Linked DNA regions of Drosophila melanogaster. The protein of the gene in region 2 interacts with the protein of the main gene of each other region in a pairwise test. Each region holds a gene or a part of one and is shown on either strand. Other genes may lie near its edges.

What was found. The genes of interacting proteins can lie anywhere in the genome.
Region 1: the proteins of CG14540 (region 2) and Tbcc interact in a two-hybrid assay, tested with the Drosophila melanogaster proteins (one large-scale study listed by BioGRID).

What each region holds. Positions count from the first base shown.
Region 1 is NT_033779.5:4,183,804-4,191,778, forward strand, and holds Tbcc (Tubulin-binding cofactor C), read right to left. Parts: upstream 3,991-7,975; 5' UTR 3,764-3,990; intron 3,697-3,763; 5' UTR 3,681-3,696; coding exon 2,613-3,680; 3' UTR 2,447-2,612; downstream 1-2,446. Other genes in the region: lectin-24Db, read left to right, coding at 4,345-5,424; Naprt (nicotinate phosphoribosyltransferase), read right to left, coding at 6,139-6,216, 6,280-6,689, 6,756-7,021.
Region 2 is NT_033777.3:25,956,197-25,964,781, reverse strand, and holds CG14540 (uncharacterized protein), read right to left. Parts: upstream 5,504-8,585; 5' UTR 5,307-5,503; coding exon 4,368-5,306; intron 4,311-4,367; coding exon 4,187-4,310; intron 4,120-4,186; coding exon 3,341-4,119; 3' UTR 3,096-3,340; downstream 1-3,095. Other genes in the region: boss (bride of sevenless), read right to left, coding at 1-333, 393-863, 1,167-1,218.

The DNA of each region.
Region 1 (7,975 bases), on a different chromosome or scaffold from region 2:
ACAAGTTACAGTTTCTTATAGGTAAAGCTCGATCTATAGATGGGAAAAGCACTTGAGGCTTACGACTATATTTCGGGTGTTTTGTGATTGTGTTAACTTATACATGGCGTATGAGTGATATTTGGCTGAATTGATCAATCGCTGTTATTCCTACCTAGAAATCACACTTTGGGCCAACACATTAAGGCCGCTTAACTAAATGCGTAAATTAGCATCGTTGGCCACATCAGCTGAGCCATAAAATCCGCACACAAAGGCATTTGCGGATTGCATGTGGGTCACCGTGGGCATAGAGCGAAGGAGCCAGGACGAAGGTAGCGCGGCTCGGTGATTTTGCAGTAATTGAAACCATCAAAGTGTGAGAGAGTCAGGCAATTACAGGCACTGCGATAATATTAATGTGGGGGCGGTCACCGTTGTTGGGTCCTCGGTCTTATCGCAAATGCGGCGAATATTATCTGCGATAATGAGAAAACTAATTGTGAGCTATGCAAATGTGGCACCACCAGATGCACCTGTCCGTATTGTGAGCACACATGCATACTGTATGTGTGTATGTGTGTGTGTGTGTGTGTGTGTGCGGCCGGAATTACCAACACAGTTCAAGTGTGAAAGCAATTAGATTTGATAGTGTATCGGCTTCATTTAAATAAACGGATATTGCAGTCGCTGGCAATCGCCAAAGACGATAAGATAGAAGAAATAATCAGAATCTTCAAGTTTGAAAGACACATTAAAATATTTTATATTTTTAATATAATATATGTTTAGTTTAAGAAGTGATCCTATTTCCCATAGCCTGCCAACATAAAACGCACCATTTGATATTCAAACGTTATTATGTTGAAAATGAAACTAAACCTTGGTAAGACTCGAGTGGAAATTACAGGTGAATAGCAGGTGAGTGCGAATCATGTGCACTTGACATGAACTGACAGCAAATTGATGCAATTTCGTCACATTATCGACAATTCATTTGCAATTAGATTGGAACAATTTCTGTTTGTGTATTGCTTATGGTATTGAAATGGTAAATAAGTTGTTAAAATGTATTGGAAATAATAGATACAGTACATAACATTTCAATACGGGTACATACCTCTTAATCCTTTCATTCGGAATTTTAAAATGATTTATCCATGCCACTTTAAATTATATTTGTATTTTATATCACCACACCATTTAAATTTGATTAAACTTATATCACTCCAATATCACTACACTTAAAAAAATAAATAAAAAAAGCAAAGCAAAAGTCGTTGCTATATTATACACCGTAATTATGTGATTTGTGTATTTATATACTCATTTTCCTTACATTTATTTACTTGTAGCTTACTTGTAGTAAGCTCCCAATATGCACTATTCCTCATCGTGAATTCACATTGAATGAAAGCGAAGTTTAATGAGATATTGAAGATCAACCAAGAGATAAGCCGAAAATCTGCGCACTTTCGCGTTTTTCTTTACTTCACTTGCTGATCTTCCGTTGTTTCGCACTCTGGTATTTGTGCATCTGTTATTCTCCTTGCTTCACACCGTTTTTGTCACTATCCTCAATTGTGACAGCTCATTACCTGCTCTCAATTTGGCTCTCCCCCCTTCCCCCTTCCAATCTAACAGCATCACCGTTACTTGTGTAACTCGCAGTTCAATTACCTCGCTAATACGAGTTGTCTCTTCCGATGATTCCTCCGCCTTCATGAGCTATAGCCACATACATACATATATACCACACATGTACTTATTTGCGGAGATGCATCCCCTTCTTCACCGCTTGTAACTCGAATTCGTTAATTATTTTGACAGTCGGCCATGTTGACAGCCGCAAAAGTCAACGGGATGAGAGAAATGGTGAGTGAATGGGGGAAGAGTAAAATAGCTTAACAGTTAAGAGATGACGAAGAACAGATACTCTAACTTAAAATTGCGTATAAGTTTTGAAGTTGACAGTTCGAAAAAACTAAAATAAACAAAAATAAATTATTAATATCAATTTAGTTTTGCATCAAATCAGAAAACGCAATGAAAAGCATATGTACATACGAATTTGCTTTTCTAAAGTATTTCTTTACTTTTGCATTTTCAGAACAAACCTGATGTGTAAGTGGAGTGACCCGATCAATGTGCAGGCAATGGCTTGAGAGGTTCTGTTGTGGCCACATGAAACTTGCATGAGGCGCCGTCTTCCGCCCATTCCGGAATGTGTGTGGCAGCCACAGCCATTTTGGCCAACCACTGATTATGCCACATCCGAATTGGACATGTCAAATTAGCCACGACATAAACAAGAACAGATACATATGTACATACGCATGTACATATGTACATATGTTATCGAAGAAGTCAAACTTTAACTCACCCACTCCAAAATGATTACTGCTGAGATACTGAAAAAAATTTTGACAATGATTTGGAGTCCCTTAATATACAAGAGACTATTTTTGTTTTTTACATAATGGTTATTTAATCAACACGCTTATAGCTAATTACACAGATCGAGGATTAGATTTTGGGCCTGTAACTGAGGGCCGCAGCAGCATTTCCCAGAGCAGCCAACCGAGGATGATGCCGTAGGCTAGCCAACCGAGGAGCAGCCGCCGATGCCGCCACTAAATGATGGATATGTCCTTGACATCCTGCTTAAGTTCGCTGTTATGGTTATTGGCAATAAAGTCGCGCCTTAAGGCGTTCCAATTCGGATCGGGATAATCCTTGAGGAGGCTCCAGTTCGGCGAGGGGACATCCGGCGAAAGCCAGTTAAAATCGGCCACATCCGTATAGTTGTTCTGTGCCTTATTCAGTCCAGAAGCTAGGTAGTCGGCCTCCAGTTTGGAATAATCGTAGTTGTACTCTCCGATCTCAATACTCTTGCAATCCTCGATTATTGCGCGGCAGGTGACATGCATGTATATGCGAATGGACCGGGAGGAGTGCAACCTCAACTGCTGGCAGGCAATGGAGAGGGTGCAATCCTCGAGATTCTCGGCGAAGAAGGAGCGTGCGATGGGGCCGCATAGCAGCGTGCATTTGGAGGCCCTGGAAACCTGCACAGAACCGGGATGACCCTGCAGTTCAACCAAACAGTGGTTCAGTTTCGATATTGTGATGTCCTGGCCATTGACTTTAGCGGAATCCAGGACTATATGCTCGTTCGTTCGATTGGCAATCGTCCACGTGAAATTGGAGCCTAGTTTTTCTGGGACTTTACTGAGTTTCGCGTCGACTATATCCTTATTTGGAGGGACTTTTGGCTTTGTGACGGTCTTTTTGCCACTGAAACCAAACTTTTTCTTGGGCAACAGGCGCTGGCGGGTTTCATCACTGACGGCGGTCAGGGTGTTAAGGATATTCTGACAGGATTTGATCTTGAAGTCGGGCAGAAACATGGTGGATGCGGTGAGATATCGCTGCAGATCCTGGATCTCCACAGTTATGTCGGCGAAGTTTCTGGCCAAATCGGTTGGCTGGCCATCGCCGCACTGCACATCCTTTAATCGCTGCTCTATATCCATGGTTTTTTGGCTGAAAGTCTGGTAGAAGTAGTCAACGCCCTCGTTCTGCACTGTTTCCTTGGAACGCAGCTCCGATTTCACATCCAAATAGTTTTGCCTGTCCTTGTTTCTTTTGTTCAAACGCTCGAGGATTTGATCCTTGCGATTTTCCGCGTCGCCTTCCATGATTTTCGGTATCAATCTATAACGAAATATCTGGTTAAAAATCAATTTCTAGGGCATAACTTCTATTTGGCCGTATGAATCACAGTTGTTGTTGTTTTTCTTGCCAAGTTGCGCAGCTGCAGAGAAATGCATGGAAAACGCGGCTTTCTTACTGGGCACGTATCATATGCGCAGTGATTGTAGTTCAAATTAAGAGAAATTATATTATTTTTATTCTGTTTATTAACCTTTTGTTTAATTTTCTTATTATTTTGTGCAGCTGCTCACAATAACAAATGTTGCCTAATCGTTGTGAGTGTCAACAGTTATGTACTAAAAAAGACCAAACAACATTACCGTTTAATGCGCACGGTGAATGGCAACGGCGGCAAGAAGAAGAATACGCGCCAGGGAAATTTTAGATTTGAATTTTTTATAGGAGAAATGCGATAATATTAATTATGAACTCTTGTAAGCAGCGTAAGAAACTTAATACAATCAAACATCTCGCCGAACACAAAGCACATTGAATGTCGCCCACAGAAGCGATAAATTCTTGATAAATGCAAAAACGGAATTAAATTTAAATTATGGGTCTTATCTTTTTTGCTCTGTAGAACCTTTTACATAAAATGCGGATCAGTACGTTTTATTTCTGCGCTTGCAGTGGTTGTGCGATATCAAAATGTTTAGGCTTGAAAAATGTATTGTGTACTTACTTGTTGCCTGCAATCTGGTTGAATCACGAGCGGAATCCACAGAAAATTCCCGATCCGTGTGCCTTCTGAAAGATCCGCCAAATCAGTGCGGAGAATTCTGCCTTTCGGTGCTCCAACCGCTATTGGATCACATTGTAAAGCACCAGGAGCAATGGAACACCTCCGAGGCCCTCTGGCTGAACGAAACCCAGGGCAAATTGGACAGGATACAGACCCAGCTGGCGGCACAAGCGCTATCCTTGGAGGAATCAGCGCAGAAGGTTCCAGGAGACATCAAGGATAGACTGGACCGAATGGAACATCTTCAGACGACACTGCAGGAGTCTCTAAAGAAAATGCCAGCTGAACTCGATGCGAGGCTAATGAAAATGGAAAATCAGCAAAAGACATTGGGCGACCAGTTGGAAAATCAAATCAATCTCACCAAGGAATCTCAGCAGGATCAGTTGGAAGCCCTAAAGAACGCCATGCCGATAAATTTCGAAATGCGGCTGGCTCAGATTGAAGAACAGCAGAAGTTACTTCAGGAAACTCTAAAGAAGATCCCAGAGGATTTTGAACGGAAATTGCAAAAGTTGGAGCAGAATCAGAAGGATGAGCTGACCAAGCTGGGAGCTCAGCAGTCCGCCAACCAAGTCACACTCAAGGAAATTTATACCAAGGTCTTCTGGCCGAAATTTGAGCGAATCGGCTCTAGACTCTTCTACATAAATCACAAGGATGCCTACGACTGGCAATCCGCTGTAGACTTCTGTCGTGACATGGGTGGCTATATAGCCGCCATCAAGGATCAAGAGGAGCTGGACGCCATTTCAGCGAGACTGGACGACAAGAGCTACTGGCTGGGCATAAACGACTTGCAAAGCAGTAACACCTACGTATCCGTGGCATCCGGCAGGGAAGTTGAATTCCTCAATTGGAATGCGGGCGAACCCAATCACGGCAATGAAGATGAGAACTGTGTGGAGCTGATTAGGAGCAAAATGAACGATGATCCGTGCCACAGAAAGAAGCATGTTATTTGTCAAACCGACAAAGAAGTTTAAATGAAAACACTGTCTTTGCATATTCGAAATAAATAAAAGATACAGATACTAAAAACTATTCCCAAACTGTCGTAGAAAGTTGATTTCTCTTTGCGGCGCTCTTTTACCTTTTAGTTAAATACATAATCGCAGTATGTATGTAGTTATATATAGATAGAGTAGTTATAGTTGTGTGCTTGATGTGTTGTGCCCTACTGCGTGCAAATGTCCTAAAAAGCATTTGTACTTCTAACATTCATCCTTCGTTCGCAACATTTCAACACTTAAGTACTAGAAAAATATTAAAGACATATTTATTCCGTTCCGATATTTGGTTGTAACTTAGTAACTCGATTTGGGTTCGTGATTCCTGTGCATCCTGATTCTAATTCCGCTTCCGCTTCTCGTTTAAGGCACATTACACATTCCTGAATATGATGTGCGTTTTACATAGTAGTAGTAGTAGTAGTAGTAAATATTAGATAAACACGTTAAAACTATTGATTTGAAATTCACTCGCTAAATTGCGTGGGAGTTTGTGCTTCATAGTCAGCGGGAAATCCTCGTGTGACGGAACGAGTTCCAGCTCTACAATGCATATGACCAGCAATTGACTAAAAAAAAAACTAATCCACCACGACCCCAAAATCGAGGCCAACAAATATTGAAAACCAAAGGTAAGTAAATTTCTCGGAAATGTTTTAGCGCATCCTTGCCAGATCCTCCTTATATAGATCATGATAGCTCGCCAATTGGTGCATTCTGAAGCCACAGATCGTGAATGAAGTTGTAGAGATTATCGCTGACAGCCACCTGAAAAAAAGTGAGACATTGGTTAGACCCTTTTCGTAAGCCAAATCAAATGATTACACCCACCTTGTAGGGCGTCGGGTTGAGCGTGCGCTTGTGATCGTTGCGCAACGTTTTCAGCGAGATTTGCACCTTCTCGCGTACCTGCTCCAACGTGGGCAGCTGCTGGCAAATCTTGCCCGACTTCCAATACACCTTGTAGAGCGACTCCACGTGCGAGGGTATCACGTAGGCACGCTTCGACTCCTGGAACGGATGCCGGCACAGTACCTTCTGTCCCACCGCTGGCGGCGGCTCCGATACCTTCTGCAGCAGATCGATGAGCGCGTGACCATCGGCGCTATACAGCCGATAGGCATTCTTGTTGCCCGGCATCGTCACCTTCTCCACGTCCTGGCTCAGTTTGATACGCGGCTGGCCGTTGATCTCAACGAGCTTGTACACACAACCCAGCGCCGGCTGTCGTTGGCAGGTAACTGCAAAATACACAATATTTACAACACATTCAAGATTTCAAATGTACATAAGTACAGCAAACTCACCCAAATGCGTGCCAATGCCAAAGCAATCGATCTTGTGCCCCTGTTCGTTGAGACTCAGAATGGTGTCCTCATTGATGTCGTTGGACGCCACAATGGTCAGCTTGTTGAACCACGGCACCTTGAATCGCTCCGCCACCTTCTCGAACGTTTCGCGTGCCAGGCAGGAAAGATAGGCCAGATCCCCGGAGTCGATTCGAATTCCAAGCGCATGGTAGCCCAGATCGTTGAGGGCCAAGGCCACAGCGCTGAAATTCAGCAAGCCACTCCTGTGGAGAAGAAATCACAAGCATGTGTTTAGAAGTCGCATCTATGGATTCCAACAAGTGCTGCTTGGTTTTTGGTTTTCAATTCAACGTTAAACTCATTTTACTCATTTTGCTATACAATATTTTAAATTTGGTTTTTGGTCACTAGTTTGAAAGCGAGAATTACGCAAATTCAAATGTTTCGAAAGTGAGGTGGAGCTATAAAACGTGTTTCAGAACTCAAATTGGTTCTCTTCGATTTGCAGGTGCGGCTCTTTGTGTTCGAAATTTGAAGCCTGGGAAAATGCCATAATTTTCTCATAAGGGGAGCAGCAGCACAAAAAAGTCGAAGTTATTCGGTTTTGTTTTTCAAGCCATGCAGTGTGCTCTCTCGGACGCTTTTCTTAACTATGTACAGGTCATAAAACCAACGAAAAAAGAAAAAACATTTTTGAAGTTCTCTTTGTTGGTCGTAAATAAAATGTTTCGAAAAATATATGTATGTAACAATACAAAACTGGGGCACAGAAAACAAGAAAATTTAAGTTTAATTTCCTAAAACCAAAATGTTTTCGAACTGAAGACGAGGACAATAAGAACGGGGTTTAGTCTATGACAGCATTAGGGTGAATCAGTGCGTGATTTCGTAGGTTTCTTTTTCATTTATGTGCTTAAAACAATGCAGAAATAAAGCGAACAAGTTTACTTTTTTACGTTTTGTTCAACAAAACTGTTTAGCTTTGTTAATAAACTATTTGGTTATGATCAAGGTTCAGTAGAAAATTGTTTTAATTGCACTTCTCTTGATTGTTTTATGCACCTGGTTATGTGTTTGTGAGCTTAAGGATCGTATATCATTATGCATGAACTTTGGTTTCGTTTGTCGTATTTTTTGCTTTTGAGTAGGTGAATTGTATGCCATATGATATTTTCTCATGTTTTTGTTGGTTGAAGACGTGTGTTTTACATACCTCT
Region 2 (8,585 bases):
AGTGCATGAGGCACATGTGCTCCTGGCGAGCGGCTTCCATGAATTCATTGTACATCTCCAGCGTTTCGGTTGCTATTTCCACGGATGCGATTTTTTCGCCCCAAGGCATTTGATGCAGCAAGTGCGCAACTTTGGGAAAGAGGTGCGCCCGCGTTCCCGGTATTGGCCAGATATTGTATTCCAAGTCCTTGATAACAGACTCCAGTTGTTTGTACAGCTCCCAGTCAACGAATATGCCCATCGAGTACGTCGTGCACTGCTGCAGAAACTGAACTTCTTGAATAAGCAAGTTCTCTGCCAAGCTGGCGTTGTCGATGCTGATGGCGCGAATTCCTGGAATTCAATAAGAAGGATTTGATTTAGGTGCATATAAATAGCGGAATTTTACAAACCAATTTCAAAGTCTGCCATTATAAGATTCGCCTGGTTCACACGATTGATTACGAACAACGCGGAGTCGGGGTCCTTGGTCAAGACACTGAGCACCACATCTCCTTCGAGTATCTTGACAAACTCCTCCTGCTTCCGTATAACCGTTCCCTCATCCGCACTATTGACCGTCAACTGCAGACCATTGAGACATATTTCCGGCACTAAGCTGGCAGTTGTTCCACTGCTGGGTCCCTCGGTTGTGGATGAGATGAGCGGGGCCAGCTGACCATCGACGGAGCTGGAGACTTCATCATCGGTGGTTGATGCCACCGTTGTTGGGGCCCTTGTGGTAATACTGATGGGCTTGGCCTGCTGACTTGTGGGCTGTGGTTTGGTTATTCGAAGGGGAGCGGACTTCTTGGTGGGTGATGTCAGGTCAGCTCCATGGCACTCCAAGACGCAGAACACAGTGACTAGGATGCATAGAAGAGCTGCAGAGGACAACAATGAATTAAATCTTATTCGTATAAGATGGAAAATATCGTCGTCCTTAAATTTAAAGTAACTTTGTTCTGGTTAGCATGGTTGATTGACTAGTTAATTGATTGAATTACTCAATAAAGGAATTCACTTAAACCATATTTGCAATGGAATTTTCTACACAAACTCAAGCTTGAATGGCATTTTGAGAAAAATACAGGTCTTGAAATATTCCCGGAAAAAGAAATCCCCTCAAGTTGCCATTCATTCCATTGCACTTCACTTCTGCCTTACGACATTTACTCAGCACTCACCCACTGGTAATGGCTTTCTCCGTCCAGATTGCAAAGCGTCCATGACCTTCATTTCTAAAGTTTTAAAGGTTTTACAATTAAATACAAAAAATGTCCGTTGATAATTAAGCAATGCAGCAGTCTTTCCTTCAACATGTACTGATAATTGATATCATTTTATTTTTATTTTGATAGCTAGAAGGAAGAAAGAAAATGGTAAGTTGGATATTAGCCAGTGTGCAGAATTGTATTTTTTATTTTTTGCCGGCCACTTCAACCATTTTGCCGACTGCGTGGAGAGTGCTGCACTTTAATCGCATTAAAAATTGTCACACTAACACAGACTTTGTTGGCTTGGCATAGTTTCCACTTTTCCATGTCTGTTTCTTCGTGATTTTGCCCACTATCAGTGCAAAGTAATACGGTGGAAAAAATTTCTGTTTCGCATATTCTCTCACTTCGGGAAAATCAATAGAGGTTTTTTGTGGAAGCCGAATTCTGGAATTTATGGCACTGCACACACTTATTGCACAGATTCACGCACTAGACCCACTGACAGTCAGAGCCACAATAGTTTTGGGCAACAGCAATTGGCAAAAAAAAAAAACAAAGAAAAAACAACAAGGGAACACAAATTGAACGCCTCAGTGATTTTAGGGTCAATTAAACGTTTCTCGTTTTATATTTGTCCAGTGATGTACGCAGCACTCAAACCGTACATATATATTTATTGTTGGCCCACGAACAACCAATTTGATTTGGTAAGCCCCTGTGTTAACGGGTGCAGCATTGCAGTTGCCCGCACAATGCAATTATGTTCTATTCGATTTTTTTTTTGTCTCTATTTCAGTTTATTTTATTTTAGTTTTTCCGTTTTCGAACCCACCCCCTGGAAAACCGAAGGCGGAACACTGATGTGGCAATGTTTTGCACCTGTTTTGGCCGTTTTGTTTTGACTAACTTGGCTGAGGCCCGGCACTCGCTGGTTGTTATGGTTATTGGCTCAAACAGTCACTCACGAAATTGAGTGCTTTCCACGTCGAGTGTACAATTTCCCATAATTATACAAATAAATATGTACACCCCGAAGCCAGTTCAAATATTGGTCATTGCAATTAGCCAACTTGCTGGGCAAAAGGGTTTCGGGTTTCAGGGTGGAATAGGGTGGCCTGTCAAAGGTGCCGATCAGTAATTGCAATTTGGCCAGTCTTACAGTTCGGCACTTGTGGATAGCTTGCACAATGTTTGCTATCCTCGTTGGTTTATCAAAATGTTTTATTTTATTTTATGGCTATCCAATGCAAACTGTTCAGTGGAATATCCTTGAAAACAGAACCGACACTCGTGCCTTGGGCTTTGACATTCGTATGGCACTTTTCCGGGTTTTGGGGCTTTGCATAACACTTTTAATTCACGTCAAACGCAACATCAGTTGAAAAGTAAGCATTTTCATTTGGCCACGTTGCATAAGTTTAATTTAGAGCTCAATTCCTTTAGGGGGTTTAACTTTAATTGCCCAAAAAGCAACTATATGGCCTTATTAAGCTGTTTGGCTTTTTATTTAAATACTCATTTTACTTTGAATAGACGCACCAATATCTTACCGACGGACCACGTCCACGTTTAAACTGTTTTGGCCAACTGAACTAGCGGAAGAACTTGCAGAGCCGCGACACTCGTAAGCCCATAAAAATGCAGCTGCAGGTTAGGGCTAGTGGGGGTGGTCTTAGGCCTTATTTTCCACTCGACTCAGTTTTACCCGGTTGCCGGATGGGGGTGATGCCTTGTTTTGGCCAGCTCAGTTGATTCTTGCTTTGCAGTCAATATAATATGCACTTATTAGTGACACCAATGGGCATTACTCAGCGAGAATCGGGATTGCCAAGGGCCAAATAGGTCAGTTTTATGCTCAATGTAAGCTGTTCACATAACATAAATAAGAATATGAAAGCCAGTTTTAAATTTTGAACATAGTTTAATTGTGATCCTAAAAATGAATTAAATGAATACATGTACGCCAGGTACGATAAGTTATAGTTAATTTGTCGAAACATTTGATCCAATTTTTTTTGGCTTTACATTATCAGAAATAATTTAGGTCATGCCAAAAGTAATATTTAAATAAGTATTAAGGCGATTTCTAGGAATGGGTTCCCCTTCAGTTTGAATGCTCCTTTATCTTCACTCCAGTGGCTTTACTGACCATCTCCGGCGCCTTGGTTGGCTCCCCTTCGATTTAATTTGCGGTTGGGCCGGCTCGTAGTTGCTCCACTTGGATACTTGAGGCCACAGTCATCGTCCTCGCTGCCGGTCGAGATGTCCGAGGAGAGCTGGAAGTCATCCACTTCGGTGTAGGTCTCATCCGTACTATCGTTGGGCGTTTCGATCTCCGTGTCGTCAACCTTTTTATTTTTCTGACTACCTGCGAGGGTCCTAGAGCTCATGGCTGCTGGCTGACAAAGTCCACCGTTTGAATTTTTCTTGGGTATCAAGATGTCCTCGAGACTGGGCAGTTCAGCCGACATCTGACCATTCATATCCTTCACCTGATTGCAGTAGCGCTGGATATTATCCAGGACTTCTTGCACGCCCACATCAGATGATTTTACAACTAAACTTTGCTCCGATGACGACTTTTGTGCAGCAAGAACTGGCTGCTGAGCTTTGCAGATGCTACGATAGGCACTGGAGTTCATTAGGGACTCGTTATGGTCTTTTTTGGCGCTAATAGGCATTTTGCTTTGATTCCTAATCACTTTTCCTGGTTGTTGTTTTAAACTATGCGACGGTTTCTGTGTCAGATTCTGACTGACTGAGGCCGCTGCTTCTAAGTTCGCCTTCGAAAGACTCAGCATTTCCTGAGTGGGCTTTCCATTCATCAGCGATTGATGCTGGTAAAACATTTTATCGTACTCGGATTTCATGCACAAGTACCGAAAGTGTCGCGAATTTTCCTCACCGAAGTAAATTACCTCTGCAGATGCCAAAAAATAGTTACATATTATAAATACCAAATAAACACTGAAAGTAAATAAACTCACTGCTAATGACTTGTTCCTGCAGCTTATCCAGGTTATCGTTTGTCTGCTTCAACTCGCCCGAGAACCTTTCGATTTTGTGGCTCAGATCGCGAAAGTTCTTTGCCAGAGCATCGGATATGGTGTTCTAAAGAAAGTGCATAGTGTATTAACTAATCAACTAAGGAACTTATGCGAAACTCACGCCAACGGCCGTTTTGACAGTCTGGCGGATCAGGTCAAAGAACTCCTCAGGATCTTCCTCCTTATCTTCATCGTCATCGGCGGTACTCACGTGCACCTTGCTCGCCGGAACAGGCTGTCGCCCACGCATCTGCTTCTGATGCGGATGCGGATGCTGATGCTGATGCTGATGCGGTTGCGAATGCTGGAGGCGCTGCTGTTGCTGATGCTTGAGGTGGTTGTGAGTAGTCATCTGCTGCTGCTGGTGCAGCTGGTGTTGCGGCGGATGCTGCATTGCTCCGGATTGCAACTGCATTTGCATTTGATGGGCATGAGAGTGCGGATTGTGCCGGCGCATATTTCCCATGTTTCCCTGCTGGGGCACCATTAGTTCCTTATCGGAGTAGTCGTCGTTGTCATCCATTGGATAGTCGTTCCTCTGGGTATTGCCCTTTTCGCGGTGCTTCATTCGGTATGTCTCCTTCGACTTGGACATGCCATAGCCATTAGGGTTTACCGTGCCTTCGGCCGGGCTAAAATGCGGCACCTTGTTCATCGGCGCCTGACGAGCACTGGCCTTATTGGCCATTTGGTTTCGCCTCGAGGGCATGGCGTTATATGGAGATGGCTGGACATGGCCGGGAATCATTTGCGATATTGATGGCTGCGCCATCGAACCGGGGGCATTTCGCAGATTGGCCGCCGTCAACGGCAGATTGGTGGTGATGTAGTAATCATTTTCGGTGACAAAACTGCGCTGAGTGCGAGCATCGACTTGTCGGGAGCTAATGGTTCCTCCACCGCCAGTTGCACCGCCTGGACCCGATCTCTCAGCCCTTGCTGTTTTCTTGGTCACACCTGCATGGGATATCGCTACCGACTTTACCGGATGCAAGGAATCCATTTTGGAACCATAGACCTCCTCGATTCCCTTGCGACGAATTGGGCGCACCATCTTCATCCAAAGGCTCTTTACTCACCGAAACAAACTTTCGTTGGCCTCGAGTTGCACCAATAAACGCAAAAGCACAATAATGTATAAACTGTATTTGATATATTTTACATCTATTTATGTTCTTTGGATGATTTAGCTAAAATGAATGAGGGATATAGAAAGATAGTGAATGTTATAACACCAGCCTACTGGATAGATAGATTGGATAAATATTACTCGTGTGAATAAACTGAAACATTAACGACATACATTTTCGTCGCATTTCGCATTTATCAAAATAATCAGAAATAATCGTTATTATGGTTATTTGTCAAATTTTGATTCACTTCCTTATACGAAGAGTATGAGTTGTACAATATATACATATTTACCACGGAATGATAGATCTCTGCACCTAAATCGCATTCATATTGATTACTCACTCCAGCGCTTCGTTTCTACCAAATTTATTTTCACACCTCAAACACCTCTTCATTATTCAAACCACAGGTGGTGAGGGAGTTTTCCCGTAAATTTGTTTACCTTTTGCCGCTCAACTAACCGCAAATGGCAATGACACAGAGCAAAGGTTCAATGTTTGCCCGCTTTGCCGGAAATATTTCTTCGGTTCGACGCCAAATCAAATGCTAATGAGCTGCATCTGATTGTGAGTGCGAAAGTGGTTTTGGATACCACTTGCTGTTCGCTTGGAAGTGGTTCATCGTTCAAGAAATTATTACAAATATTTATCCGATTATTTACCTTTGAACCTCCTCGGGCTGCCGTGTATCCAAGGCGAATGATTCGAATGCGTGGCATGGCCACGCTGGAGGAATCCTTAAGTAGGCAACTAGCTTTAAGGTCATGTCTGGACTGCTGAAAATAGACCGCTTAGCCTCAGGTTACAGACACTTAAGACATAAAGGGAATGCAAAGCGAAAGGGATTTAGAAAGGCGCTCAATAAAGTGCTGAAGGACCCTTAAAAATTGGGTCATCTGTCTGTGGGGACGGTGCCTTGAAACGGAAAACCCATGATGCCCATGCCAACTCCTTGTCTCATGTCCTCATTATGCAAATTGCGCATACGACGCGTGTGCTGCTGCCCACTGCAGGAGGCCTTCTCCCCTTTCCGCAAGCAAATCATTTTGTTGACAATCTGTTGCATGCGAATGCTATTAGGAACGAGATGATATCTGTGGGAATAATTTTCATTTAATGTACACCCTTTTCATTTTCTCTTCCCCTAAACGACCCCAAGAACAGCTCATTTAATTCGTTTTGTGTGTACCCTAGTCATAAATATAAATGAACCATGAACGGCCGACAACAGTTGACTATAATTTAAGATCCTGGCCTGCAGTTGAGCCTTGAATTTCCATCCTCTGCATGTGTGCGCATAAATATTGCAACATTCGAGGAAGCAACAAAGGTCAGACAGGCTTTATTTGTTGCAAATGCGCAGAGAAGCTGCCATTAAGCCTTTGAGTCCCATCTGAATGACGTTCATGTTGACATTGTCATGGTGATACAAAAAATAATCACCATTATTAGTTGTTCCGGCCAAACTGACTTGATTGGCCACTGATTCTATGCCATAGACTGTTTGGACTGATTATCAGCAAAATGCCAACTGACTTACAGAGCAAAACGTGAGCCATTCCAAAATTAATATAAGTCATTAGCATTATGCGGAACGATAAATTTTAATGGGACTCGGCATTAGAATTGCTTAAGGCGGAGATATTTCCAAGAAATTTATCACCCAAAAAAGTCGCCCCGCGGCGCAGATAAATCATCCAAATGGTGACCACAAATTGTACAGCTTTCGTAAGGCACATGAAATACGAAATGTTTGCACTGGCACTTCTTTATTTTTAATTGCAGGCCCAGTCAATTAAAAGGCAAGTGAGTGTTGCAGCATTTCTCTCACGCATAAATTTGTCCCCTGTCAACAAGATCCTCAAGACTTTTCATGATTTTCCGAATACTTTGCCACTGCCCACCCATAAAACGTCACTTGCACGATTTAAGGTATCTATTTTTGGTTTGATGGCAAAACATTTAATGAGAATTTCTAAACAGAGCACTTTTCTTGTTAAATTTAATCAGTAATGATTAAACTGAGAACCATTTCTTCTTAAACGAAGGGAAAAAATTGTAAAAAAAATTAATTAATTGAGGCAGACAACAAGTAAAAAGAGAATTAACCAAAAAAATATGTGTATCCATAAAGAGCATTCAGCTATCGAATAGCTAGTGATTGTTCATCTTTCCCGATTGTATTTATATTAAAAAGTACATATATTAATACGGCCGGAGAGTAAATAATTGTACGCCTATTTATTTGCTTAATTTAAGAGCTATTTATTGCTGTTTATTTATTTATAAGTATCCCCGCTGACAGACGAACATGACGAGCGAGAATTTCCTCCTGTTCTCAGTCTTTCTGGGCCGTGTGCTTTATGACAAAATGTTCACAATAAATAAATGCTACAACGAAATAAATTGCCGCTACAGATATCATACAAATAAATTTGCTTATTTATGCGATGCTGCCAAAGTTTCCAACAAATTTTTGCGATTCGAATCGAGTGGCTCATTGGCGTTCTCATAAATGCAGCTGCTGTCGCTTTGTTTTGTTTCGGCTTTTAATAAAAAATTACCGACTCGACTTTGATTGTTGATGATTGTTTTCTGAATTTTGATGGCTTTTTGTCACGAATTCAGAACGCAGCATTTCTTTATGTTGCCCATTTTTTATACGCACTGAAGATCAGTGGGGTACGTGTTTCCTTTTTTTTTCTGTATTTTGCCTGTTCGCAGAAAACTGAATGAACTGAAAATACAATTTTTTGTGGTATTTGGGTCAGCAGATTTTTTTTTTTTTTTTTTGCCTCACTTCACTGGGATCAATTAAAGTCATAAACAATTCGATGCATTTTACAGTAGAGTGCAATGCTTTCAATAGGTATGTTTCTTAACTGAGCGATGCAATTAAAAGTAATATGTTTGTGTCTTGTTTTGCATAGGTATAACTGGTATCCAGCTTATCAGCGCGTTTGATAAGAAAGCTCGCAACCTGCAAAATGTTGCTCAACAATAAGCTTTTGTAAGCCGGCAGCAACATAAACAAAGAACAGCTGGTTTAGCCGGCTAACTGAGAATGAAAATGTGGGGTGAAATCAGGCAGGTCACTTGTCGTGTGCCTTCGTGTTGCCATCGTCGGCGCAGCAGCAACAGCGGCAGCAGCAACACTAGCCGCAGCAACAGCAGCAACATCAGAAGCCGCAGCAGCAGCAGCAGCC